Callithrix jacchus: one gene and its partners. The protein of the gene in region 3 binds, or shares a complex with, the protein of the main gene of each other region. Links are inferred from orthologs where the notes say so. Each region holds a gene or a part of one and is shown on either strand. Other genes may lie near its edges.

Region 1 (4,095 bases), on a different chromosome or scaffold from region 3:
CTTTGGCCAAAGCTCTAGGCTAGCTTCTGTGAGTCTTCTGCCTGACTGGGCCCAACCCCTTGGGCTTCCCTTTCTGGCCTTGTCGAACCCAGTCTGTGCAAGAACGCTCCACTCTTGGTGTCTTAGTCCATTTTTTTGTTGCTATAACAGAATACCAAAGACTGGATAATTTCTAAAGGAAAGAAAGTTATTTTTTGCAGTTCTGGAGTCTGGAGAGCCCAAAGTCAAGGGGTTGGGTCTGGTGAGGACTTTCTTAAACTGCATAGGGAGAGAGCAAGAGCACGTGGGCCAGCTCAGATCGCTCCTCCTCTTATAAAGTCATCAGTCCCCTCACAGGGACCCTACCCTGATGACTTTATCTAATCCTGATTATCCCCTCAAAGCTCCACCTCCAAATACCATCAACATATGAATTTGAGGATTGAGTTTCCAACATATGGAATTTGGGAGACACATTCAAACCATAACACTTGGTATCTGACCACCCTCAATATCTTAGCACCCTATCCTGCTTTCAGCAATAATCCTGTTAGGTCAGTTTAGCAAGAAACTTCTTATCCTTGATGTTTCTCTTAGTAATTTTCTGTCCACTGACTCTCATCCTGCTTTTTGATCATAAATCCCTACTATTTCTTGTTGGAGTCAGAGTTAAGTTCAATTCCTCTTCTTCACTGCAAGGTCTGGTTGTAGCGGTCTCTAGAACTATCACCTGGGCTCTCTGACATAACGTCTGCCTTACCATCTTTAATTAGTTTCACGAGCAAATTTTCCTCTGACACTTTTCAGCATTTATTTCTCTATATTTGTCTATTGTTTGTTGGACCCACCAAGCACTGTTATGTACCATGACTGCAGACACTTGTCCCTCATTTTATCTTAACCGCTTGGCACACAGGAGACATTTATTCAATGTTTGTTGAATGAGTGATTAGCACTCATCACAACTGTAACTCTGTGAAGACTAGGATCCTACCCATTTTGTTCTTTACAAAATACCGCCTAAGACTTGAACAAGTCTTCGATAAGTGCAAAGCGATTTAGAGGAAGGAGGGGTGACTAAACTGACTGAAGAAGCTAAGGGAAGCCTCACAAATACAATTACATTGAAACTGAAACTGAAAGGGAGGAAAACTAAAAAGATCAAGAAGGGAAGAACTGCAGACAGTATCGTGCTGGTCAGCCAAGATGGCTTCTATCGCAGGCCGCCACACTTAATATGGCGACCAGGTAAAGTTCCTGGAGAAAATCACGCGAGAGTTGCATCACGGCGGCTGTCCGCGAAATAAGCTGGGGGTGTGGAGCAGCCAAGATGGAGCCGGCAGCCGGCAGTCCGGGCCCACTGATCGTGAACAACAAGCAGCCCCAGCCTCCGCCACCTCCGCCGCCGGCAACCGCACAGCCTCCACCTGGGGGACCGCGGGCCGGCGCGGGCCTCCTGCCCGGGGGCAAAGCCCGCGAGTTCAACCGCAACCAGCGCAAAGACTCGGAGGTCAGGAGCTTCGGGGGCGAGGCTCGCACCGGGCGGGGGGCGCCGGGGGTCCCGGGCATTGGGCCGCTCTAGGGGCCAGGCTGGGCTTCCCGAAGGGCTCGGTAGAGCCCGGCCGGGAGCTGTCATTATACAGCGAAAGGAGCAGGAAGCGAGGTTGGCAGCTCCTGGGGTCAGAGGCATGAAGCCCGGGTCCCCGCTCGAGCTCCGCCGCCCAGGAGAGCGTCCCGGAGCCTGCGATCGCTGGTTTGCTCTCCTGGGCCCCGGCTGTGGGCGTGGCCTCGAGGCCCCTGACCCTGGGAAGCCTCCTTCACCCCAACTCGCGGGTGGGAATTTGGGGGTCTGCGTGCACTCCAGGGCGCTGGGCGGCCGCGCCCCCAACCTCTAAACCTCTCGGGCCTCTGCCCCTGGTACTGGGGCGCAGGCTCCTGGGTCGTGCCGCGCGCAGAGGACGGCGCGTGTGGGCAGGCAAGGCACCGGCGAGGATCTAGGAGGCACTTAAGGCCAGACCGAGATAGTTATCACTGAGAGTATTGCGCTGCCGGAGGTTCCGAGAGTAGGAGGGGGAAACTATGCCTTGTTCTTCTGACCTGAGCCGGATCGGGCCATGGGTTGACAGTGCCTCTGGTGGGTATTTTGCCCAGTGCGCCTGATACTGAACTGTTAAAGATGAGAAATAGACATTTTAAAACATGCATTAGGACCCAGCATTCCTTCCTCTCTCTCTAGTGAGCAGTTCCTGCCGTTCTGGAGATGGCATAGTCTGGAGCCGACTAGTAACCTCACCCCAAGTTAAAGAATTCCTCCCACTGCCTTCCTCTGCAGAATTCATGAATGAAGATACACATGTCGGGGCGTTTTAGGGCTTCTTAATCAGCACGTTCCCAGAGCACTTACTATGCCATCTCCTATGTTAATCAGCCCCCAAGCGAATCAGCCAAGTTAATGAGAGGGAATTCCTCATTGTCCAAGCATAATGTACTCATAGAGCAATGATACTATCTTTAGACTTGTGAAATCAGTTCCTCACAAGCTTTTGTTTTTGTTAGCAAGCCTAAACCCCTGATAAAACGTGTCAACAATTGGCAACCCCAAAGTAGAAGTAATCTGAGCTTAGAGTGAATAATTTGAAAAAACAAAGAAACTGACCTTTAAGGAGCCCTTGCATGCTAGGATGATGGACATCAGTGGTAACTACTCAGTTTTTCCTTTTTTTTTTTTGAGACGGAGTTTCGCTCTTGTGACCCAGGCTGGAGTGCAATGGCGCGATCTCGGCTCACCGCACCCTCCACCTCTTGGGTTCAAGCAATTCTCCCGCCTCAGTCTCCTGAGTAGCTGGGATTACAGGCACGCGCCGCCACCACCACGCCCAGCTAATTTTTTGTATTTTTAGTAGAGACGGGGTTTCACCATGTTGACCAGGATGGTCTTGATCTCTTGACCTCGTGATCCACCGCCTCGGCCTCCCAAAATGCTGGGTTTACAGGCTTGAGAGGATTACTAAAGTGGAGGGTAGTGAACTTCCTTCATCATGAGAGGAGTTATCATTTTGAAAAACGGTTTAAATTTTCCTAAGTAGCTATGAATGGTCAAATAAATACCCTTTGACGAATTTTAATTTCTCTTTTTACCCCTTAATTTCCACATAGAGGCCGGGTGTGGTAGCTCACGCCTGTAATCCCATCACTTTGGGAAGCCCGGGGAGGGGGGGCGGATCACGAGGTCAGGAGATGGAGATCCTGGCTAACACGGTGAAACCCCGTCTCTACTAAAAATACAAAAAATTAGCAGGGTATGGAGGCACGGGGCCTGTAGTCTCAACTACTTGGGAGGCTGAGGCAGGAGAATCACTTGAACTTGGAAGGTGGAGGTTGCAGTGAGCGGAGAGAGATCATGCCACAGCACTCCAGCCTGGGCAAGAGAGCGAGACTCCGCCTCCAAATACATACATACATACATTTCCGAATAGACTAATTTAATGAAAGACCAGTCAAATGGACACATTTAAGCAGAGACCTGTCTAAATCCATTTCTTTTTTTTTTTTTTTTTTTAAGATGGGGTTTCACCATGATGGCCAGGCTGGTGTTGAACTCCTGACCTTAGGTGATCCATGCACCTCGGCCTCCCAAAGTGCTAGGATTACAGGCGTGAGCCACCGTGCCTGGCTAAATCCATTTCTTTAAAGAGGCTGATGCTGTGATCTTCCTTTAGTCATAGCTGAAATCTGTAGTTGGGAGCTTGATCAGTGAATGCCTGGAGGACAGGGAGGCTGGCATTTTATGAGAGCCCACTGTGTACTACATAATTTTGATTAGTCCTTAAAAATCTTCAAGGTAGGGTTTCATAATTGCCATTCAATGAATGAAGTAACTGAAGTTCAGTAACTTGTGTGAGTGTACACTGTGTTGTCTCTGAACATAGTGTGGAGTTCTTGTTTGTGGGAGTGGTTTTGTTTTGTTTTTGAGACAGGGTCTCCCTCTGTTGCCCAGGCTGGAGTGCTGTGGCTCTATTTCTGCTCACTGCAACCTCCACCTCCTGGGCTCAAGATATTCTCCTGCTTTAGCCTCCCCAGTAGCTGGGATTACAGGTGTGCACCACCATGCCTGGC
Region 2 (4,174 bases), on a different chromosome or scaffold from region 3:
AGGACCCCAGCACCCTGCCCAGCCTTTGCCACAGCGGTCATCTGTGCGCTGTCTTTTAAACAGAACAGTTTTATTTATCGGAAGTTATTCCTGCTCTCTTACCCTTCATCAGTGAAACCCAGAATGACAAGGACTTTAAGACTGGTGGCGCATGCCTGTAGTCCCAGCTACTGAGGAGGCTGAGGCAGGAGAATTGCTTGAACCCAGGAGGCGGAGGTTGCGGTGAGCCGAGATTGCGCCATTGCACTCCAGCCTGGGTAACAAGAGTGAAACTCCACCTCAAAAAAAAAAAAAAAGAAAGAAAAAGACTGGTGTTGAATTGTATTCAGATCTTAAGCAATTTCTGTGACCTCCCAATTTCTTTAAACTTTCATGTTTCTTTTTTTAGCTTAAAAAAAAAATGAGTTAACATTTTTTCTTGAATGCTTTCTCTTTTTTTTATATTTTCATTTTGTTGGTTTTCCTTATGGAAAGAATTGTTTACAAGTCATGCGGTAATTACGGTATTTGGTGTAATGTAATGCAGGATGTTTCATCTAATATAGAAAGACATTTGCTGCTTTTTAGCTTCTTTATTATTATCCGTATTGATTTAGGGTAATGGATTTGAGTTGTCTAATCACTGACTTTGAGCAGCCGGGAATAAGCTTAAAATCATCTTCCTGAAGCCAAGTCTGGCATTTTTTGATCTGCACATGTGTACATTAGAAATTGCGATGTTGGAGCTCTGCTTTTCCCACAGTGTGCATCTGTGAGACAGGCTCATTGTTAGCAACAGGGACAGTGCAGAAAACACAGATAAGAGAAAAACGTACTGTTAGCATTTCAGTGTACATCATTCCACCTTTTTCTTTGGATGTGTAAATAAGTAACCCTGTCCCCCAACCAAAAGGGGACCAATTCCTGTAATTTTACATTGATGTTTACCTAGGGAGTTTGCAGCTTTAAAAAAATTTTTGGAAAATTTTGATGGACCTATGAATCTTTCCACTTGTCTTATTATTTCTCTAGTAGAAACTGACCGGAAGGGGGGTTTTGCCTTTTACTTATTTTCATTTTCTGATCACTTTTACATCTTTTTAGTGCTTCTACTCTTAGGTAATACAGTTTTCTTTATGTCATTGTTTTCTACTTTTTGCTGCTTTTAATATGAGGTTTATTAGTGATTTTTATTACCTTCATCTCTAGCTGTGTTAATGCTTTTTGGAGATTTTAAAAAAAGGATTATCTGGATTGTCTGTAATTTCTTTGAGTTGAGAGCAGTATTTTTCTGAAATGTTTCCCCTCTCCCTTGGGAATTTGGAAATATTTTCCTTTTGTTTTCTTTTTTACCACTGCCTTTCCTCCACTCGTCAGCGTGGATTCCTTTGGCTTAGGAGGGGACCTGCCATGGGCCGGGCGTGGGGTGAGCGCGGAGGGGCGGGAGCACTGCCTCCTGGGGCAGGTGGCTCTGTCCTCTTCTTTCTCTCCAGCCTGCCCTGCCTTCTGCCTGTGGGCTGTGCCAGCGCCTGCTCTTCTCCGAGGGATGAGATACTCCAGGGGCCTGTGCCACTCCCGGTGGCACCCTCGCATGCTCCCCAGGTGAGGGGTGAGGGCCCAGTTGCCTGGGGCCCACAGCGAAAAGCTGGCCTCTCTACTAGGAAGCCTTCCTGGTTAGGGAAGTGGAGATGCCCTCGTGGACCAGGCCTGCTGGGTGCCTCTGGATCTGCAATTGGGTTCCCACAGGAATGGTACCTGCCATCTCAGCCCCACGTGCCAAGAAAAGGACCTCAGTTTCCCAGCCGCCTGCCCCCTTGCAGGCCTAGGGTCCTGATGTGTTCTCAGTTCTCCCCTCAGCCTGGAGCAGAGGTCAGTGCCTGGCTATGTTACCTGTGGGTTCCGGTTCCGGTAGTTCCTACATTTATTGCAGATGGACTTTTCTTCTCACGCTCCTTCGTTTATTAACGTCAGTGTGGGCCAGAGCAGCCTAACATAATGCGCCTTTCATTTGATGGCTTTTACTGGAAGCCTCTTCATAGCTATTTTTAAACCTGGTGTCCACTAACGTGACTCCAAATTACAGCCAGGATTCTCATACTTGCCAATTTACATTGTGTGGTGTTCTTATGAAGCCTAAGATCAAAAAAGACCCAGAAGTGAAATCAAGTTTCTTTTGTATAGTATGTGGCTTACGCATGTGTTTGACTGAGTCTGCTGGGTACGGAGTCGTGGACGGCAGCTTCTGGTAGCAATCATTCAATTGAAGCCATTGATGACCCACACTGCATCTGCAGGCTGGTAGCTCCTGTCTCACAGTTCGGGGGTGTCCTGCATCCTGTCGTAGTTCTCCGCCATCCTTGGGGGCCAGTTGGGAGTAGAGGGCTTCCGGGCCACACTGTGGGGTCTCCTGTTGCTGCCTCCCCTGCATTCTCTGTCTCTATGCAGCGATAAGATGGCGTCTTCGGGTCTACACCCACCCTTGCCTCACCTGCTGCTTCTCAGCTGCTGTCAGTGGAGCCCAGCTGTTGGACCTTTCGTAGCCTGTGCCTTTATCACGCACCAGAATGTCCTGAGATCAGGACTGAGGCTCCCTGTGAGAGGTGCGGTTTGGGTGGGCCGGGAATTTGGGGCAGCTGTGTTTGTGCTTGGAGGCCTTTTTTTATTTTTGCTTGGTGCTTCTGGAGGATTGAGATTTCTCAGATCTGAGCACAGAATCAAAGTTGAGTTGTGCTTGAATCATTGAGAGAGCTAGAGTTAAGTAAATGTATGCAGACTTCCTGTTGGGTCCAGCTGGGGAGCGCATTTGTTGCATTTGGTTTGCCCTTCAAGTGTTTAGTTATCTTTTTTTTTTTTTTTTTGCTGGGGGTGGGAACAACTCCGTAGGGCACTTGGGTAGATAGGATTTTACCGAAGCTGTGAACTTTGGAGGATGGCATCACTGGTCTTCTCCTCCCAGCTGGAGCACAGCCTCAGCCTCTCTCCTGTGCCCCGGCCTTTGCAGGCACCTCTAGGCCCCGGGGGCTCCCGCACTTGGCCGGCTGCTGTTTTCTGCTACAAGGAGGGGTGAGTCTGAGACTTTGTACTCTGTCCCATTGTCTCCACAAATCTACCTGTTCCTGTCAGGCCGTGCGTTCTGGTGTTGAGTTTGGAAATGATGGGATCTGGATTTCAGCTGACCTCTTGCAGACATACATGGTGAGTGTTGGTACTTGGACGTGTAGATAGAAAAAGTAGGGTAAAAGACAAACTCATAAAAAGTAGAGTCCACCGTTAGCCTTTTAGGGGCTGTGGTCTGTTTTACTTCCCATCGCTTTCACTCCAGGAACAAGGGACTAATAGGGAAAGGAACCTAGGAGCCGGAAACTGAGCATTTATTAGGCGCAGCCCTGTGATGTTAAGGCGTCTGTTAATCTGAAGTGCGTGAACTACCTTATAGGTCTGGGAAGCCATTCATATTTATATGCTAGTTTCCTGAAAAACAGAAAGGGCTGCATGAGTATTTGGGGTTACTGTGTTATCACTTGAGTTGACTCCTGAGTTTTTGAGGCTGGCCCTGTTCTGGTTACCCCCATCAGTAAAAGGCAGGGCTGGGAGGAAGTCGGAACCAACCAACTGGAGAGAGAGAGAGGGGGAGAGAGGGAGGGGGAGGGAGAGAGGGGGAGGGGGGAGAGAGAGAGTGTGTTTGTGTGTGTGTGTGTGTGTGTGTGTGTGTGTGTGTGTATATATACGCGAACGGAGGATGAATGTATTGTTTTTCCCTTAACAGACAAGAGAGTTGGCTAGAACGGTCCCCACTCAGCAATATTTATTTAGGTTTGCACACCTTCCAAAATGTTACTTATTTAAGTCCCATTTACAATACTTAAAAATGGCTGGCATACCAGTCAGTGCTGGGGTCGGTGGAGTGTGGTGCCAAGAAAATATTAAATCATGAGAGCTGATTACCATGCCCAGAAAATAATGCAGTCTTGTGAATGACCTTTGTCTTCAAGCCAGGATAAGAAATGAGTTATAAACGGTCCGTGGTTAAAGTCCCAGTGGGTCCTTGGAGAACAGCAAGTGGAGATGGAACGAGCAGCCTTTGACTCACTTGTGTTCTGTGTCCTTTGATCTGTGCCAAGGAAGACATCATACTTAGCAAGGATTGCTTTGAAACGCACGGTTTTATTTTCTCAGCTAAATATCGTAGCAGCAG
Region 3 (4,037 bases):
TGAGCTATAAACGAGAAGACTGGGCTGTATCTCAAAGGACACTGACAGCCAAATAAGTTATGACACAGGGAATTTGGCCAGGCCTGGATCAATCTTTTATGATAATAAAGAATTAATTCATAAAGCAGAAACATCAATTAAGGAGAGAAGAGAGTTCTCCATCTTTATTTGCAACCAGAGCAGATACAATGTGTTTCCTGTCCTTTCTGCAAGTAGCCATGGGAAAGGGGGGAGGGGAGAGAGGACAGGGACAGGATGTCTTTCCCTGACATGTCACTCAGCAGCCTGTATCTTTTCATTTTTTTCATGGCCATCAAGTCTGATAGCCCAGAAGTACGTCCTAGAAAACATAAGAATTCCAGATAACTTGTTAGGGTGATAAAAAGGTGCTTAATTTCATTTGCTTTTTTTTTTTGAAACGGAGTTTTGCTCTTGTTGCCCAGACTGGAGTGCAATGGCGCAATCTCGGCTCACTGCAACCTTCGCCTCCTGGGTTCAAGCAATTTTCCTGCCTCAGTCTCTGGAGTAGCTGGCATTACAGGCATGCGCCACCACACTTAGCTAATTTTGTAGTTTTAGTGGAGACGGGGTTTCCCCATGTTGGTCAGGCCGGTCTCGAACTCCTGAACTCAAGCGATCCACCTACCTCAGCCTCCCAAGGTGCTTTGGTTCACAGGCGTGAGCCACCAAGCCCAGCCTCATTTGCATTTTAAAAATTGTTTTCAAGGGCCTTCCCTTTCTCCCACTGTTGCAGTGTGAATTTATAGTGACATATTGTCAGACTTCGGAAAAGGAAAATATTTACAGAGAGCCACTTAAAAGGAAAGGACTTTGGTGTACCTTTGGTAGGCGGATGCTGTTGCCAGTTTGCAAGTGAATCGTAAAAGAAACTGGAACAGGACAAGTGAAAATGGAGAGGGGACAGGATATCTAAGACTGGGCTAGGAAGCAGAAAGGGACCTTGCTCTTTCAGGTGGTGTCGCTTTGCAGGCAGTGTTATACTTGATTCTATGCCAATCTTTGATAACAGAAATGGTGTCATTTATCTTAATATTCCCAGCGCGAGAGATAACCGATAATCAAAATATATGTTCAATTAAATGGAGTAAAAATGAGCGGGAGTAAGGAAAAATGAGGCAAATAACAAAGCATCTGTTATTGGATGCTAAAACTTTTACAGGATTTACTGCAGAGGGCTGCAAAGGGAAAGAAACTTCAACAGAGCAGGTTTTCCGACGGGCTGTCAACAAACTACAATTTGCAGGCAGCAGCAGCAGCAAGCTGCGGCGCTGTCTTGGAGAGGTGAGCAGCGTTCCTTAGAAATGAAAACTGGTCAGGCAACAGGTTTGAGCCCCTCGAGTCAAAAAAGAAAGGCAGGAGCGACAGCGACCCGCAGACTGGCAGAATGGAGGAGCGTCTAGGGTGATAAAAACTCCGAAGTCGGAGCCGGCACGAGAGCTCGCAGGACTGACGGCGGGAGAACCCGTCCCGCTGCCGCACCAGGTAGTTCGCTTTGACGGTTTCTTCACAGAACGACCAGGAAGCCTTAAACGATACGCGGCTCGGGCTGGTATCTTGGCGTGATAACTTCCGTGTGTGTGTATGTGTGCAACAGGGAGTGCCGCCCGCGTGCTTGTGTGTGTGTGCGCAAAAGGGAGCGCCGCCCGCCAACTTCCGCGTGCAAGGAAGACTGGAGCGCCGCCCGCCCGCGCCCAGCCAGCAATAGGAAACCCGCGCTCCCCGCCAAGCCCGCCCCTCCGCGGCGAGCCGGAGTGGGCGGGACAGGCCCGAAGCCACGCCCCAGCCGAGGCGAAGCCCCACAGGCCGCCTTGGTCTCGCTCGCCCGCGTCCCGCCCCACGACTACATTTCCCGGCAAGCCCCGGGCCACCCGCGCGCTGCAGTTGACCCATTTCCCGGCCCGTCACGGGCTCGGCCGGCCCCCGCGCCCAGGCGGCTGCTCCCTGCTGACTGGGGTGTGGGCGGGAGCGGCGGAGGGAGGAGGAGGCGCTGCTTGCCGCCGCTGTTGCCTCCGCTGCTGGGCGCCGGGGCAGCTCCCCGGGTATCTGCGGCCGCCATGGACGAGCAGGCGGGTCCCGGCGTCTTCTTCAGCAACAACCACCCGGGCGCCGGCGGTGCCAAGGGGCTCGGGCCTCTGGCGGAGGCTGCCGCGGCCGGCGACGGGGCGGCTGCGGCGGGGGCGGCCCGAGCCCAGTACAGTCTCCCAGGGATCCTGCACTTCCTGCAGCACGAGTGGGCCCGCTTCGAGGTGGAGAGAGCCCAGTGGGAGGTGGAGCGGGCGGAGCTGCAGGTAAAGACCCTCCCGGCCTGGCCGTCTTCATCCCGCCTCTTTGCTCCCTTCCGCCCCGCCCCGGACCCTTCTCCCCCTCCCCCAGCCCGCTCGCGTTCCCTCCCCCTTTGCTACCGCCCATCCCACCCTGAGCCCCGTTCCCTTCCTTCCTTCGTCTTTTGCCTTTCGCTGACCCCACCTCAACCCTGTTCTCACTCCTGTTACCTGTGCGTTGTTTACCCTCCCCACGCCTGTTCGTCGCCCCATCCCACTCTTAACTCCCAGGCTCATTTCAACTCTGGCCATCCCGCATCTCAGGGCTGCCCTCTCGGTTTACTAATTGGGCTGGCAATAGTTTTGAGAGACGCGGAGCAAACCGTCCGCTGTCCTGGTGTGCCCCATCCTAGGTCTAGAGACAGTCCCGGCAGAAGGTGCCGGCTTTGGCCCGTCTCTGCGAGGAAGGTGATCAAGAAGACAGCAGAAGTTGTGTCAGTGAGGCCTCGACTTGACACAAGAAGTTGACGTTGAGCAAAAGTGTTATGCATGTATCAGCTCCCTTTTTAATATATGTAAATATCTCCTCCACTTTCTTCCGACCCCCTCCCACGTTTCTTTTAAGTATTTCCAATTAATGCATTTTGAATGAAGGACCTAGATGATCACAGTCAGAGAGAATGGTTCAGAGATGGTTCCTGTTCTCAGAATCTGAAACGTCCCAAGGGTTAATTTTATGTTCAGTGTTTTGGGAGATTTTTTTGTACTTTAAAAGGAAATAGAGGGGCTTTGAAGTTAGTTACATTGCCTTGCATAATCTGCAAGATAAAGTATAGCCAGGGAGGAGATACTGTGGGCTCTGAAAATAATGAAAGTGAGGCTGATACTTTACAGGCCATTCAGAATTGGTGAATAGGTTTTTCAGTGGTTGTTTTAAAACTTTCAAAGCATACACACCAATTTCAAGAGGAACTTAACTATGAATAGTTGTGCCTTTCTGTTTTACGGGCTAAGCCTGTATACTTATGAAATTTGAATATAGTTTTAGTTGGCGAAACACTTGAGTTTAAAATGCTACCCAGTGTGTCACTTTTTTTGGTAACATGTATTTTCTTTGGCACTTAAAAAAAAAAAAAAGAGGAGAAATCTGTTAAATAGAATCATGTGCTGGAACAGGCTCTGTGGTGTAGTGGAAGTGACTGTGGAAAGAGCCAACACACGGGGCTATAGTAGACAAGGTTATAGTAAGGGCTGTGTTTGTTGCTAGGTGTGTGACCTTGAGGAAATCCTTTAACCTCTCTGGGTTTCACTTTTATCATTTATTTATTCAGCACCTGTGTATTGAGTGCCAGTGTCAGTGAGGCCTTGACTTGAGAAGTTGACGTTGAGCAAAAGTGTTACGCATATATCAGCTCCCTTTTTAATTTATGTAAATATCTCTTCTCCACTTTCTTCCGACCCCCTCCCACGTTTCTTTTAGGTATTTCCAATTAATGCATTTTGAATGAAGGACCTAGATGATCACAGTCAGAGAGAATGGTTCAGAGATGGTTCCTGTTCTCAGAATCTGAAACGTCCCAAGGGTTAATTTTATGTTCAGTGTTTTGAAGGCCAGCTATGTGTTTAGGCCCGGGGTTGAAAAAAAAAAAACGACCAAGCTTCTGCCCTCATTGAGTTTATGTTTCAATGAGGCAAACAGTCGAGCAGATGTGCCTATAGAATATAGTGGTTTATAGTGGCAACTGCTGTGAGAAA
Region 4 (3,500 bases), on a different chromosome or scaffold from region 3:
ATGGGCTGAGCAAACAAGGAGGATTTGAGGCCCCTTTGGGCCTGCGGGGGAGGAGCAGGCAGAAGGGGGGCTGCTGCTCTGGATCACCTGAGGTCAGGAGTTTGAGACCAGCCTGGCCAACATGGTGAAACCCCGTCTCTACAAAAATAAAAAAAAAGAATTAGGTGGGCATAATGGTGGGTGCCTGTAATCCCAGCTACTCGGGAGGTTGAGGTGGGAGAGTTACTTGAATGCGGGAGATGGAGGTTGCAGCGAGCTGAGATTGCGCCACTGCCTTCCAGCCTGGGCAACAGAGTGAAACTCTGTCTCAAAAGAAAAAACAAAGAGAAAAGGGGCTGCTTCTTAACTTGGTCCTGCACCTGGCATCCAAGACTGGGCCTCCACCAGAAATGGAGATGGCACTCTCTATGGCAAGCGGGCGATGTTTTCACACTGACCGCTTACGTGCGACGGCCTTTGGGCGGATGAGCTTACGCTTTGACATGCACCTGTGGTCTCAGCTACTCTGGAGGCCAAGGAGACCTGCCTGGGCAACACAGCAAGACCCCCATCCCCCAAAAAGAAAAAAAGATGGCATGTCCTCGGTTGACTTTCCTTTCAGATAGGTGCTGATTCTGATTTGATCTGTGCTGCCCACCCCCAACCTGGAGACAGCTGAGCACCCGGGACTTGTCAGCCACGCTGGAGTGAATTTTTCCTGGCTTCTCTTTAGAACATGTCAGCAGCAGTGGTGGGGCTGGGGACACAACTCACCTGGGCCAGCACGACCGGAGGGACCCCAGGCAAAAGTCAGCTCTCTCTATCCGGCCGAGTTTCTTGACCTTGGCTTCGGGGACTCCTGGTAGCAGTGGGCTCAAGGCACCCCTGCTGTCACCTCCATGGGTACTGGCTTTAGGACTGGGCTGGTGGTACTGATGAGGGAGTGAGAGAGGTCACTTTTGACTGGACCAACTGTCTCAACTGGTCAGATGTTTGGGCTGAGCCAGGGTCTGTGTGGACACTGCATCTGGCTGCTCTGGCTGCTGCATGCAGGCCACGTGCTAACAAGCCAGCCTTGTGGGGAAGGGTTAGGTGGCCTCTGGCCCTTCTGCAGCCGCCTTTTCTTCTCCAGAGTTCTGTCACCTCGGGGTCTGGCAGGCACTAAGAAAGGGATATGTAGCAGCATGTTTCAAGATGGGGGCCTGTGTGCCGCCTCTTCCACCCTCCTGGTTACAAACCTTGGGAGGGCAGCTAATTGGCAGTTTCACATGGAAATGTCGCCTCAGGCTGGCACAATGTCCAGTCGGCCTCATCCAAGTGCTCTGCTGGACTTGGGCCGGGGGCAGCCCCAGCACACAGGTGTCCAGAGGATGAGTGTGAGGGCTGTTTGTGGTGCACCCCATCCTTCTTGGAGGGCATGGTCTCCCCAGGAACGTGGAGGGCACCCCCAACCCAAGGACCTGTCGTGTGTCAGCAGCAGAATGAGTTGGGCCTCAGTGTTTTTGTGGCATAGTCACTCTGCCTTTTTATGCTTTGCTACACTAAATTGGCATCAAGACCCTGTCATAGGGGAGGGGTTGGGCATGGTGGTTCATGCCTGTAATCCCAGTACTTTGGGAGGCCAAGGTGGGCAGATCACCCGAGGCCAAGAGTTCAAGACCAGCCTGGCCAACATGGTGAAACCTTCTCTCTACTAAAAATACAAAAAATTAGCTGAGCATGGTGGCGCACGCCTGTAATTCCAGCTACTCACGAGGCTGAGGCAGGAGAATCACTTGAACCCAGGAGGCGGAGGTTGCAGTGAGCCAAGATCGCACCACTGCACTCCATCCTGGGTGACAGAGTGAGACTCCCATCTAAAAAAAAAAATGTGGGTGGAGGCCTGAGGACATACCTCTGCTGGCTTCCCCTGGACTCTGGGCCACAGACCAGGCACTTTCCACACCAGCGACTCAGAAACTTTCAGGCTTTGCTTCTTTAGATCTGAGGACTGTGAGGCACACCAGTTTCTAACTCTGTGCCGGTGTAGCTGTCGGGAGACTGATTTGGGAGTGAGGAGGCCCTTTCTAAGTCTGTGGCTTTCAGGAGTGAAGGAGAACTTGGTTAACACATACCGAGGTCTGAGGTTTTTGATGAGTTCGTTTATTTTTTTATTTTTTTTTGAGATGGAATTTTGCTCTTGTTGCTCAGGGTGGTGCGTCCTAGGTACAAGTGATTCTCCTGTGTCGGCCTCCTGAGTAGCTGGGATTACAGGCCTGCACCACCACGCCTACATTTTTTTGTGTTTATTAGAGTCGAGGTTTTATCGTGTTAGGCTGGTTGCAAACTCCTGACCTCAGGTGATCCACCCACCTCGGCCTCCCAAAGTGCTGGGATTTCAGGTGTGCACCGATGCGCCTGGCCTGATGTTTTTTTTTTTTGAGATGGAGTCGCCATCTGTCACCTAGGCTGGAGTACAGTGGCGCCATCTGTGCTCACTGCAACCTCTGCCTCCCGGGTTCAAGCAATTCTGCCTCAGCCTCCTGAGTAGCTGGGATTACAGGCCTGCACCACCACACCTGGCCAATTTTTTTTTTTTATTTTTAGTAGCGACGGGTTTTCACCATATTGGCCAGGCTGGTCTCAAACTTTTGACCTCAGGTGATCTGCCCACCTGGCCTTCCCAAAGTGTTGGGATTACAGACATGAGCCACTGTGCCTGGCCCTGATGAGTCTATTTTTTTAGTAGTTTCAGATTTATAGCAAATTAAGTTTCCAAATCCACCCTCATCCCATGGGGCCATTAGCCTATTAAGATCTCTCACGGGGCTGGCCTGCCATTAGCCGGTAGGGTTAGATGAGGCCTGTCATCACCTAAGGCTCCTGGTTTCCGGCAGGGTTCATTGAGTTGGCCTGGCCTCCTTATACTTTCTGGGGACTTTTTCCCTTGCATGGAAGTTGTTCAGGTTTCAAACAAAAGGGATAAAAGAAGAAAGCAGAGAAGAATTGAGGTGCGCTCTCTCGGGCTCCGCCTTCCTTACAGGTCCCTCCCCATCAGGGCAGCCTCTGCCTGTCCCCCGCCTGCCTCTTGTGACCGGCACTGTCTGCCCTCTCCCCACTGGCCCACAGCACTCTCGAGTGGATCCGGAGGAGCTCTTCACCAAGCTCGACCGCATTGGCAAGGGTTCGTTTGGGGAGGTCTACAAGGGCATCGATAACCACACCAAGGAGGTGGTGGCCATCAAGATCATCGACTTGGAGGAGGCGGAGGATGAGATTGAGGACATCCAGCAGGAGATCACCGTGCTCAGCCAGTGCGACAGCCCCTACATCACCCGCTACTTCGGCTCCTACCTGAAGGTGCCTGTGGGAGGCGGGGGCCCTGCTGGTGCTGTGCCTGACCCTCTTCCATGTCAGAGGGACGGAGTGACATGCCAGGGTGGGCTAGTGGGGGAGGGCGCAACGCAGCCATGACAGTGCACACCCTCCAGGAAATTGCCCCAGGGCAGGTGGGGTATGAGCAGGGTCCAGGAGGGTAAGTC
Region 5 (3,999 bases), on a different chromosome or scaffold from region 3:
GGTTCAGTAAGGTATTAATAACACACAGAAAGCACTTAGCAGTCTCTGGCACAAAGAAGATGACATCCATTAATGATAACGATATTGATAAGAATCATATATTATTCTCTGAAAAAGATGTAAAAGGAAGAAGAGAAACTACTATTTACCACTAGAGGCCCCCCACCGTGTGGTGGTTAGAGACCCAAAACAAACTTCAAAGTAAAGAACTTCATTTTAAACTGGCATTCGACTATTACGTTTTTAAAAAGTAATTAACCCCTTATGTGTTCCCAAAGGTGCCTTCATAATGAAATTCCTGTTGCTATTATTACCAGTGTTACTGTCGCTGTTAGAGTACTCTCAAAAGAGCCTGTCTCCCTCCCGCAGTGGAACTTAAAATGCGGCGGAGGCAGGGAGTTACCAAAATCGCTGCTGTGTATGCCGAATTCAACAACCTGTACTGCTGACGATCCAATCTCATTTCCCAAGCCTCTACTATCCTCATTAACTTTTCTGCTGATATAACATCTGCTTTCCATTTTCCCTCTGCCTTTACACGTGCAGAACTTGTGGTAGAGAGAAGCCCCAGTTTGGCCGTCCTGCAAGTGATAGCCAAAGAGGTAGGGGGAACCTTAGGTTAGAAGTCATCTGAACCATGTCTGGGGTCGGGGAACTCGTAAAGCTTGAGTGTGGCTACTGGTCTGCCCAGAGGAGCAGCCCCCAGCTGAGGAGGCCAGATGGCGGGAAAAAGCGGGGGCCGCCGACTCCGCGGCTGTGATCCCGCCCTAGGCCAGGCCGGGGAGCCAAGAAAGACTTCCAACACTCCCAAGTTTCAACTCAAGTCGTCTCCGAGGGTGCGTGTGCCCCAGCCTCGCACGCCCGCCTGCAACAAGGTCGCATCTAGGACGCCCTCATACCCTCAGGGTTTCCCAAACTCTTCCATTCTCTTCCCAGGCCCAGCCGTGTTCCAGGTCTCCCGTTCGCCGGGTTCTCCTCACCCCATGCCGGGAGAGTCTCCAGCTTCTCAGACTCCAGCAACCCCAGCCAAACCCCTTCGCTGCCTGGAGCCTTGGCTCCCGCGACACCGCCCGGCTGCGGGGCGGGGGCAGGGCCAACGGCGGAACCGCCCCCAGCCGCCTCCCGGGCCAGGCAAGCAGGCGGGTGGCTGGGACGCCTCCACCTCCTCTTCCTAAAGCGGCGAGGCGCAGAGGAGCGGCATCACTCGAGCCCAGGTCCCAGCCACCACCACTCACAGCGCTCGGCGTTCAGGAAGAGGAGCAGCAGCGGAGGCGGCTGCTTCAGTGGCGGGCGGGCGCCAGAAAGGTAGACTGAGTCCCAGGGAGCCCCGCCGCGAACAACCCACCTCCCAGCCCGGGCTACGCGCCTCCAGCCCAGTAACCCCACTTCTGTGTGTCCTTCCAGGCCCCTAACGACAAGCCTGGGAGGGCCGCCGAACTACCCCTGGAGGAGGAGCCAGTCCGAACTCAAGGCGCTACCGCCGCAGAAGCGGAGCGAGGCTACAGTCGCCTCCATGGCCCACTCACCAGTGGCTGTCCAAGTGCCTGGGATGCAGGTGAGGAAGCGCAGGCCGCCCCCCGCCGCCCACGTGACTGCTTGGGAGCCCGGAGCGCTCTCGGTGCTGGGCACCGACGACAAGGGACGGCCCCGGGACTCCCCTGAGGGCTGGGCCGGTCACTCTGGCCAGGTGACCTGGGAGTAGGGCTTGAGGTGTTTCCTGGTGTGTAGGCTAGGTGGTGCTCTTCGCTGGGAAGGCGAGGCGGGACTGGAGCGCGCAACTAGGTGGGGATTGAGGGCGGCTGTGGGGTATAAAAATAGGCCAGAGCCACAGACACCTGCGCCTGTGGAGCTTGGCACGGTTGGGGATGGGAGGGGGGGAGAACTTAACCTGCGAGACATGAAAGTGCCTTGGAAGTTGTGGGGTAAAACGCGAGTAGTGAGTGCCCTACAACCCCCACCCCAAACACGCACTCAAGCTGGGGCGGGGCAAGACCAGGGGTGTCGGCGGCAGCTTGAATTGGGCTCTTCCTGTGTGCGTAGGGCTGAGAGAGAGAGGTGACCTCTTTCTCCCTTTCGGTACTGCTGCTTAAGGGCAAAGTTGTATCTGGCTCCCCGACCTGGCCCAGCCCATAGCGTGGAGCGAGAAATGTTGGTCCTGTTCAGAGTCGCTGAAGTGATGAGTTCCCAGCCCCCCTCCGTGCCTTTCCCACGAGATGACTTACATGTGGTTAAAGTAAGCATATTGTCCTGGACAAGGGACTACTGCATGGGACCCAACTTCTTACTCAAAGTCTACCCAGCCCAACCCCCTCCCATTATATTTTCATTTTATTAAAGGTAAGCCATGTTGGAAAACTTCTCATGCTGTTATGTTTTTAAATCGGTGCACTTTAGGCTATCTGCTAAATGTTATCCAAATCTACCAACTTTTTAAAGTATTCACTTTTTTTCCCTTTGCTAGATAGCCCAAACAACCCATTTATGAATAGTTTAGAGGCTAAAAACAAGAAAGCCTCAGTCTCTCATGATCTAAAAATGTGAAAACAAACTTTTTTCAAGTTCAGAAATAAAATGTTTAGAGTAGCAAATAGCTTATATTTACTGTAGACTTGGGCCTCAATTTACTTATTAGCAGTGTTCTCATTTTATGCATGCCCACAAAAGTGATTTTAAAATTATTTCCCAGAAAGGGATCATTTGTGCACCTAGAACTCCTGGTGTGTCCTAAACATCAGACATTTCAGCTGCATTTAGGGCAAGTCTGGGTTGAGTCTCAGGAAGTTAGTGTATATTAAAGAGAGAGAAAGGGAAATAGGAAATAGTAGGGCTTAAGAAAAAAAAAAGATTAATCCATTCAAGCCTTGCAAAATGTCTCAGACTTTCTTCCTCTCAGGCGGCCTCCCCTCTCTTCCCCCCCCTTTTCCCCACACACCCTGTCCCACACCCCATTCATTCAGTTCTGCCTTTGATTGTATCAAGGGAATTCATAGTTTGCAATACTAAGTACAGTTTTGCCGTCGGATCTGGGAAAAAGTGACATTTTCCCACCGTGCTCTTCTTTCCGTTCTATGGAGAGTGGAACGATGCACACGTGAAGTTTGTCTCTGAGGGTCTCCATGCTTCTCGCTCCATTGTGTGCGTGAGCCTGCGTGTGTGCGTCAGCAGAGTGAGTGCCTCCCGTTCTCAAGTTTGTGATTCTGGGGAACTCTGTGTGCTAAGGAGAAAATAGTTTCCGATCTTTACTTTATTTGTCTTGACCTTATTGAATTTATATGGTTTAGGAACTGCTTACTGTTCAGTATTTCTAAGTGCTGTTCCCTGCTTTGTTTAAAGATCTGAGTTGCCTATCTCTTGAATATTTACATCTTAATTAATGTGGATTCGAATGTGAATCACATACTTTAAATTACAAACTCTGCCTTTCACTGCTGTCTGAATTCTGATTACTTTGTCCCATCTAATCTGAGTAGGGCAAACATCTCAATGTTAGCAGAGAAGAGAGGAATTATTATTATTTTTATTTTTTGGTCATTCTCTTCATCTTAATGAAATGGTAAATTCTTCTTATTTCCATTTTCTTTCTAAATGTACTTCTTAAGCACTTTGTGCAACACATAGTTTTTTCCATAGTTGAAATTGTACAATACCCTAATAATAAATGTGAGAGCACGCAGTGTGACTCTTGAACCTAGACTATTTCTGTTATTGTTATATAGCAAAATATTGCGGATGAGATGCAGAAATTCGTTGCAAGCTTGTAAAATGCTCCTAGAGTTTTATGAAAGCCTTAGGAGCAACTTTTAGATTTTTAGAAAACTTGAGTTAGCCATGTGTTCTTGAAATTACTGTATGGTGTTTCCACAAATCAGGGTGAGGTGACCGGCCAGCCTATAACTTTTTAACAGTTTATTTTAGAGAATTATGAAGATTGATGGGAAAAACGATTTTTCCAGAAATAAAAACAAAATTATCCACAATTTTTTTCTCCCTCTGAGGAGA
Region 6 (3,500 bases), on a different chromosome or scaffold from region 3:
GCCGATCCATCCAACACTTGAGCTTGTTTCCTGAGCCTGTGCCCATTTGGCAAGGCATTCTCTGACATGAAACTTCTGACTTTCCTCAGTACTCCTCTGATGGTACTGTTCTCTCTAGTCCTTCTTTGGGAGAGGTGGGGAATAAGTTGAGTTTCTCTACAGGATACATTGGGGACCCTCCTCCGAGATAAGTACTGTAGACCCTTTGATATCTGCTGTGGTCTGTCATGTCCTAGATAGCCTCAGGCTGGGGGGTGGGGAAGATGCCAATGGTTTGGGTTAGAGGAAGGAAAAGAGTGGGAGAAGTTGGGCTTATGCCTCTCACCTTATTTCTACACACTGTCCCTCTCATTCTGTTCTGTCCATATTCCCCTTTGAAAAGAACAGTCTTTTTTTTAATTTATTTTTTTGAGGCAGAGTCTCACTTTATTGCCTAGGCTGGAGTGCAGTGGCATGATCTTGGCTCACTGCAACCTCCACCTCCCGGGTTCAAGTGATTCTCCTGCCTCAGCCTCTCAAATAGCTGGGATTACAGGTATGTGACACCACACCAGCTAATTTTTGTATTTTTAGTAGAGACGGGATTGCGCCATTTTGGCCAGGCTGGTCTTGAACTTCTGACCTCAAGTGATCTGCCTGTCTCAGCCTCTGAAAGTGCTGGGATTACAGGCATCAGCCACCAGGCCAGGCCCTGGAAAGAACAGTCTTGAAGCAGAACAGCCAATGAGCTCCCTCTGGCTTTCTCTTTATCCTCACGGGCAGGCCTCTCAGGACTGGGCACCTGATTGGTCTTCTGGATGCTAGAGAGATATGGTCATTGAGGGAAGAACTTAGAGAATGGCTTTAAAACACTTTTCACAGGGATGTTAAGATGTGGAAGAACCACTGCCTTGCTGAGTGGGTTGGACAGTGGTGGATTTCTTTATTTTCTACTTTCCAGATCGCTCTGCTTAAGATTCTGCTGGCTGCAGCTCCCACCTCCAAGGCTAAGACAGATTCTATCAATATCCTGGCAGATGTCCTACCTGAGGAGATGCCGTGAGTGCTTCAATGGGGGCAGCTGCTGGATACTAGCTGTCTTATCTGCAGGGTCTCTCTAGTCCCCACTCACCTTGTTAATACTTACAGAGATTGTCTCCAAAGAGATCTCCCCCTCTCTCCACACCTGTACCCCCTTTCCCCTACAGGGCTTTCTGCTTGGCTCTTTTTAGCTCAGAACTCAGGATCTGGAGGGTGATATGAGTGCCAGTGACTGGCTGCCCAGATATATGGGTGAACATTCCCAAGGGATGAACTTGCCAAAAGAGAGAGACAGAAACAAAGAAATCAGTGGAATATTTCTTCAGACAGGCTGATAAGTGGTAACTCTGGAGGTTTCCCTGGCACAGAAGTTCAAGTTTTCCAAGTTTTGGCTCTCATGTGTACATTGTATCAGACCCAAATACCTGGATCCCTACAGGGCTCCCTTTAAGGCCACTCTCTGCGCTAATACCTTCTCTCCCCATTGTAGCATCACTGTTCTCCAGAGCATGAAGCTGGGCATTGATGTGAACAGGCACAAGGAGATTATTGTAAAGAGTATCTCTACCCTGCTTCTGCTACTCCTCAAACACTTCAAACTCAACCATATCTACCAGGTGAGCAGCTAGCAGCTCTTCTCCACAGGTCTTGGATGTTTTCCAGGCCCTATCTTTCAAAGGAAGGATACGAGGGCCCTTATAATCCTGACGAGCATCTTTCAGCCTTTTCTTTGCCCTTCCTCAGAGAATCTGGCCACCCATTAGTGTTATGGAGTGGGAACTGTCCTAGAAAGGTACAGATGTCTGTGTCCCTTGTAAGTTATCCCAGGGTTATGGATAGGAATCTCTAGGTTCTCAAGAATATGCCCAGCCAGTTTTTGAAACAATGCAAGAGAGAGTGCAAACATTTCACACAAATGGGGGGAAAAGTATGTTGACCATACTTTTCTATATGTGAAGCACTTTTCTGACATTTGAGGTATATTCTGAATAAGGCACAGTTCTGTCTCTTTGGGGCCTTGAAATCTTGTAAAGGATACAGATATATAAGTAACCAATTATAGTGAGATAAGTGCTCTGATACAGGTAAGCACTGATTGCTATGCAAACACCTGATTCAGCTTGAGGTGGAGAAGAAATGACTTCTAACCTGAGTCCTAAAAAAACAGATGCTAGCCACGATATGAGAATTGTTAGGGAAGGAGGACAGGAGGCATTTCAAGCAGAAAAGTTAATATGCAAAAGTCCAGAGGGGGAAGAGAGAGAGAGAGCAAAGTACCTTTAGAAACTAATTAAATGTTGCTGGAGTTCTGCCTGGGGTGGGGAAAGATGAGCATGGCCTGGTGATACATGAAGCTGAAGGGATCAGCAGGGAGCAGATCATAATCTATATGCTAGCACACAATTACTGAGCACCTGTCCTGTGCCCAGCACCCTGTTAAGCTTATTTAGGCCCTCATTCTCTCCACCCTATGAAGTAGTCTTATTTAATACCTCTTTTATAAATGATGAAATCGAAGCTAAGAAAAGTTAAGAAGCTGCTTTCCCATAAAACATTGTTTGCCATGCTAAGGAGTTTGGACTTGGTTTCATGGCGTTGCCAATATATAAGGACAAGATGGGGACAGCAAATGGATGCTCCTGTCTGTGAGGAGACCACAGGGAGAATAGGAATGCTTCTCATTCTTGCCTAGAGGCTCCACCCCATTTTCCTCCTAAGAAGTCAGAATCAAGCTTGCTGGTAGAAGAGCAGGTCCTCAGAGTACAGAGAGGCTCCTGCAGGGTCTATGTCATGGCCCTATCAACCAGGGTATTTTTCCATTTTCATACCTTCAAAGACATCTTTGGGTATGTTCGGTTGCCCTCGGTGCTCCCACTTTTGCCAATGTTTGCTGAGTAGCAGCAGGGCTGGGAGGAATAGGGGTAGGTAGGAGATAATGTTGCTAGTGTAAAGAGAACAGAGAACTGTGGATGTGTGTTTACTTCTGCTTATCTTGGTGGGAAGTATGTGGATTCATAGCTAGACAGGTGGGTGGCTTGATGGGCCTTGGCAGTGTGTCAGTGAATCCTGACAGGGCCACAGGCACATCTCAAACTAAAAAAAGCTTTCCATCAGTTAATACTGGATATGTATTGGCTCTTCTGTCTGGGGCTTTGGAAAATACACTGGATTTTATAAATATATAACCTTACAGGGAGAAAATATTGAGCAGAAGAGGGAAGTGGTCTTGTCATAAGCTGACTCCCCTGCTCTAATTACATACCCAGGATCATTAGGCAGCTTAGCTTGCTGCTTGGCTACTTGTTGGTGATCAGAGAGCTGAGGATTTAAAACACCACAGTTCTCTGCTTTTTCAACCTCATTTCTATACTGTCCCAGCACACTAGGTTCTGGATCTGGAGTTAAACTGTGTTTGACACTCCTTAGTGTGTCATGGGTAACAAAAACGCCATGACACTGCTCTTATAGCTACTTGCCCC

The links.
Region 1: STRN (region 3) and STRIP1 share a complex: the UniProt entries of both Homo sapiens proteins name them as parts of the core of STRIPAK complex. The link is inferred for Callithrix jacchus from reciprocal best matches to the Homo sapiens genes STRN and STRIP1.
Region 2: STRN (region 3) and STK24 share a complex: the UniProt entries of both Homo sapiens proteins name them as parts of the core of STRIPAK complex. The link is inferred for Callithrix jacchus from reciprocal best matches to the Homo sapiens genes STRN and STK24.
Region 4: STRN (region 3) and STK25 share a complex: the UniProt entries of both Homo sapiens proteins name them as parts of the core of STRIPAK complex. The link is inferred for Callithrix jacchus from reciprocal best matches to the Homo sapiens genes STRN and STK25.
Region 5: STRN (region 3) and STK26 share a complex: the UniProt entries of both Homo sapiens proteins name them as parts of the core of STRIPAK complex. The link is inferred for Callithrix jacchus from reciprocal best matches to the Homo sapiens genes STRN and STK26.
Region 6: STRN (region 3) and STRIP2 share a complex: the UniProt entries of both Homo sapiens proteins name them as parts of the core of STRIPAK complex. The link is inferred for Callithrix jacchus from reciprocal best matches to the Homo sapiens genes STRN and STRIP2.

Annotation. Positions count from the first base shown.
Region 1 is NC_133508.1:147,887,854-147,891,948, forward strand, and holds the start of STRIP1 (striatin-interacting protein 1), read left to right. Parts: upstream 1-1,295; 5' UTR 1,296-1,309; coding exon 1,310-1,489; intron 1,490-4,095. UniProt on the Homo sapiens protein: Plays a role in the regulation of cell morphology and cytoskeletal organization. Required in the cortical actin filament dynamics and cell shape. Part of the striatin-interacting phosphatase and kinase (STRIPAK) complexes.
Region 2 is NC_133502.1:14,261,882-14,266,055, reverse strand, and holds the start of STK24 (serine/threonine-protein kinase 24), read left to right. Parts: upstream 1-1,374; 5' UTR 1,375-1,389; coding exon 1,390-1,848; intron 1,849-3,156; exon of another isoform or gene 3,157-3,171; coding exon of another isoform or gene 3,172-3,174; intron 3,175-4,174. UniProt on the Homo sapiens protein: Serine/threonine-protein kinase that acts on both serine and threonine residues and promotes apoptosis in response to stress stimuli and caspase activation.
Region 3 is NC_133515.1:78,023,818-78,027,854, forward strand, and holds the start of STRN (striatin), read left to right. Parts: upstream 1-1,237; 5' UTR 1,238-1,602; coding exon 1,603-2,130; coding exon of another isoform or gene 2,131-2,213; coding exon 2,214-2,309; intron 2,310-4,037. UniProt on the Homo sapiens protein: Calmodulin-binding scaffolding protein which is the center of the striatin-interacting phosphatase and kinase (STRIPAK) complexes.
Region 4 is NC_133507.1:162,783,250-162,786,749, reverse strand, and holds part of STK25 (serine/threonine-protein kinase 25), read left to right. Parts: intron 1-712; exon of another isoform or gene 713-882; intron 883-3,087; coding exon 3,088-3,318; intron 3,319-3,500. UniProt on the Homo sapiens protein: Oxidant stress-activated serine/threonine kinase that may play a role in the response to environmental stress.
Region 5 is NC_133524.1:127,582,750-127,586,748, forward strand, and holds the start of STK26 (serine/threonine-protein kinase 26), read left to right. Parts: upstream 1-1,199; 5' UTR 1,200-1,305; intron 1,306-1,404; 5' UTR 1,405-1,513; coding exon 1,514-1,555; intron 1,556-3,999. UniProt on the Homo sapiens protein: Serine/threonine-protein kinase that acts as a mediator of cell growth. Modulates apoptosis. In association with STK24 negatively regulates Golgi reorientation in polarized cell migration upon RHO activation.
Region 6 is NC_133512.1:117,737,071-117,740,570, reverse strand, and holds part of STRIP2 (striatin-interacting protein 2), read left to right. Parts: intron 1-940; coding exon 941-1,038; intron 1,039-1,510; coding exon 1,511-1,637; intron 1,638-3,500. UniProt on the Homo sapiens protein: Plays a role in the regulation of cell morphology and cytoskeletal organization. Required in the control of cell shape. Calmodulin-binding scaffolding protein which is the center of the striatin-interacting phosphatase and kinase (STRIPAK) complexes.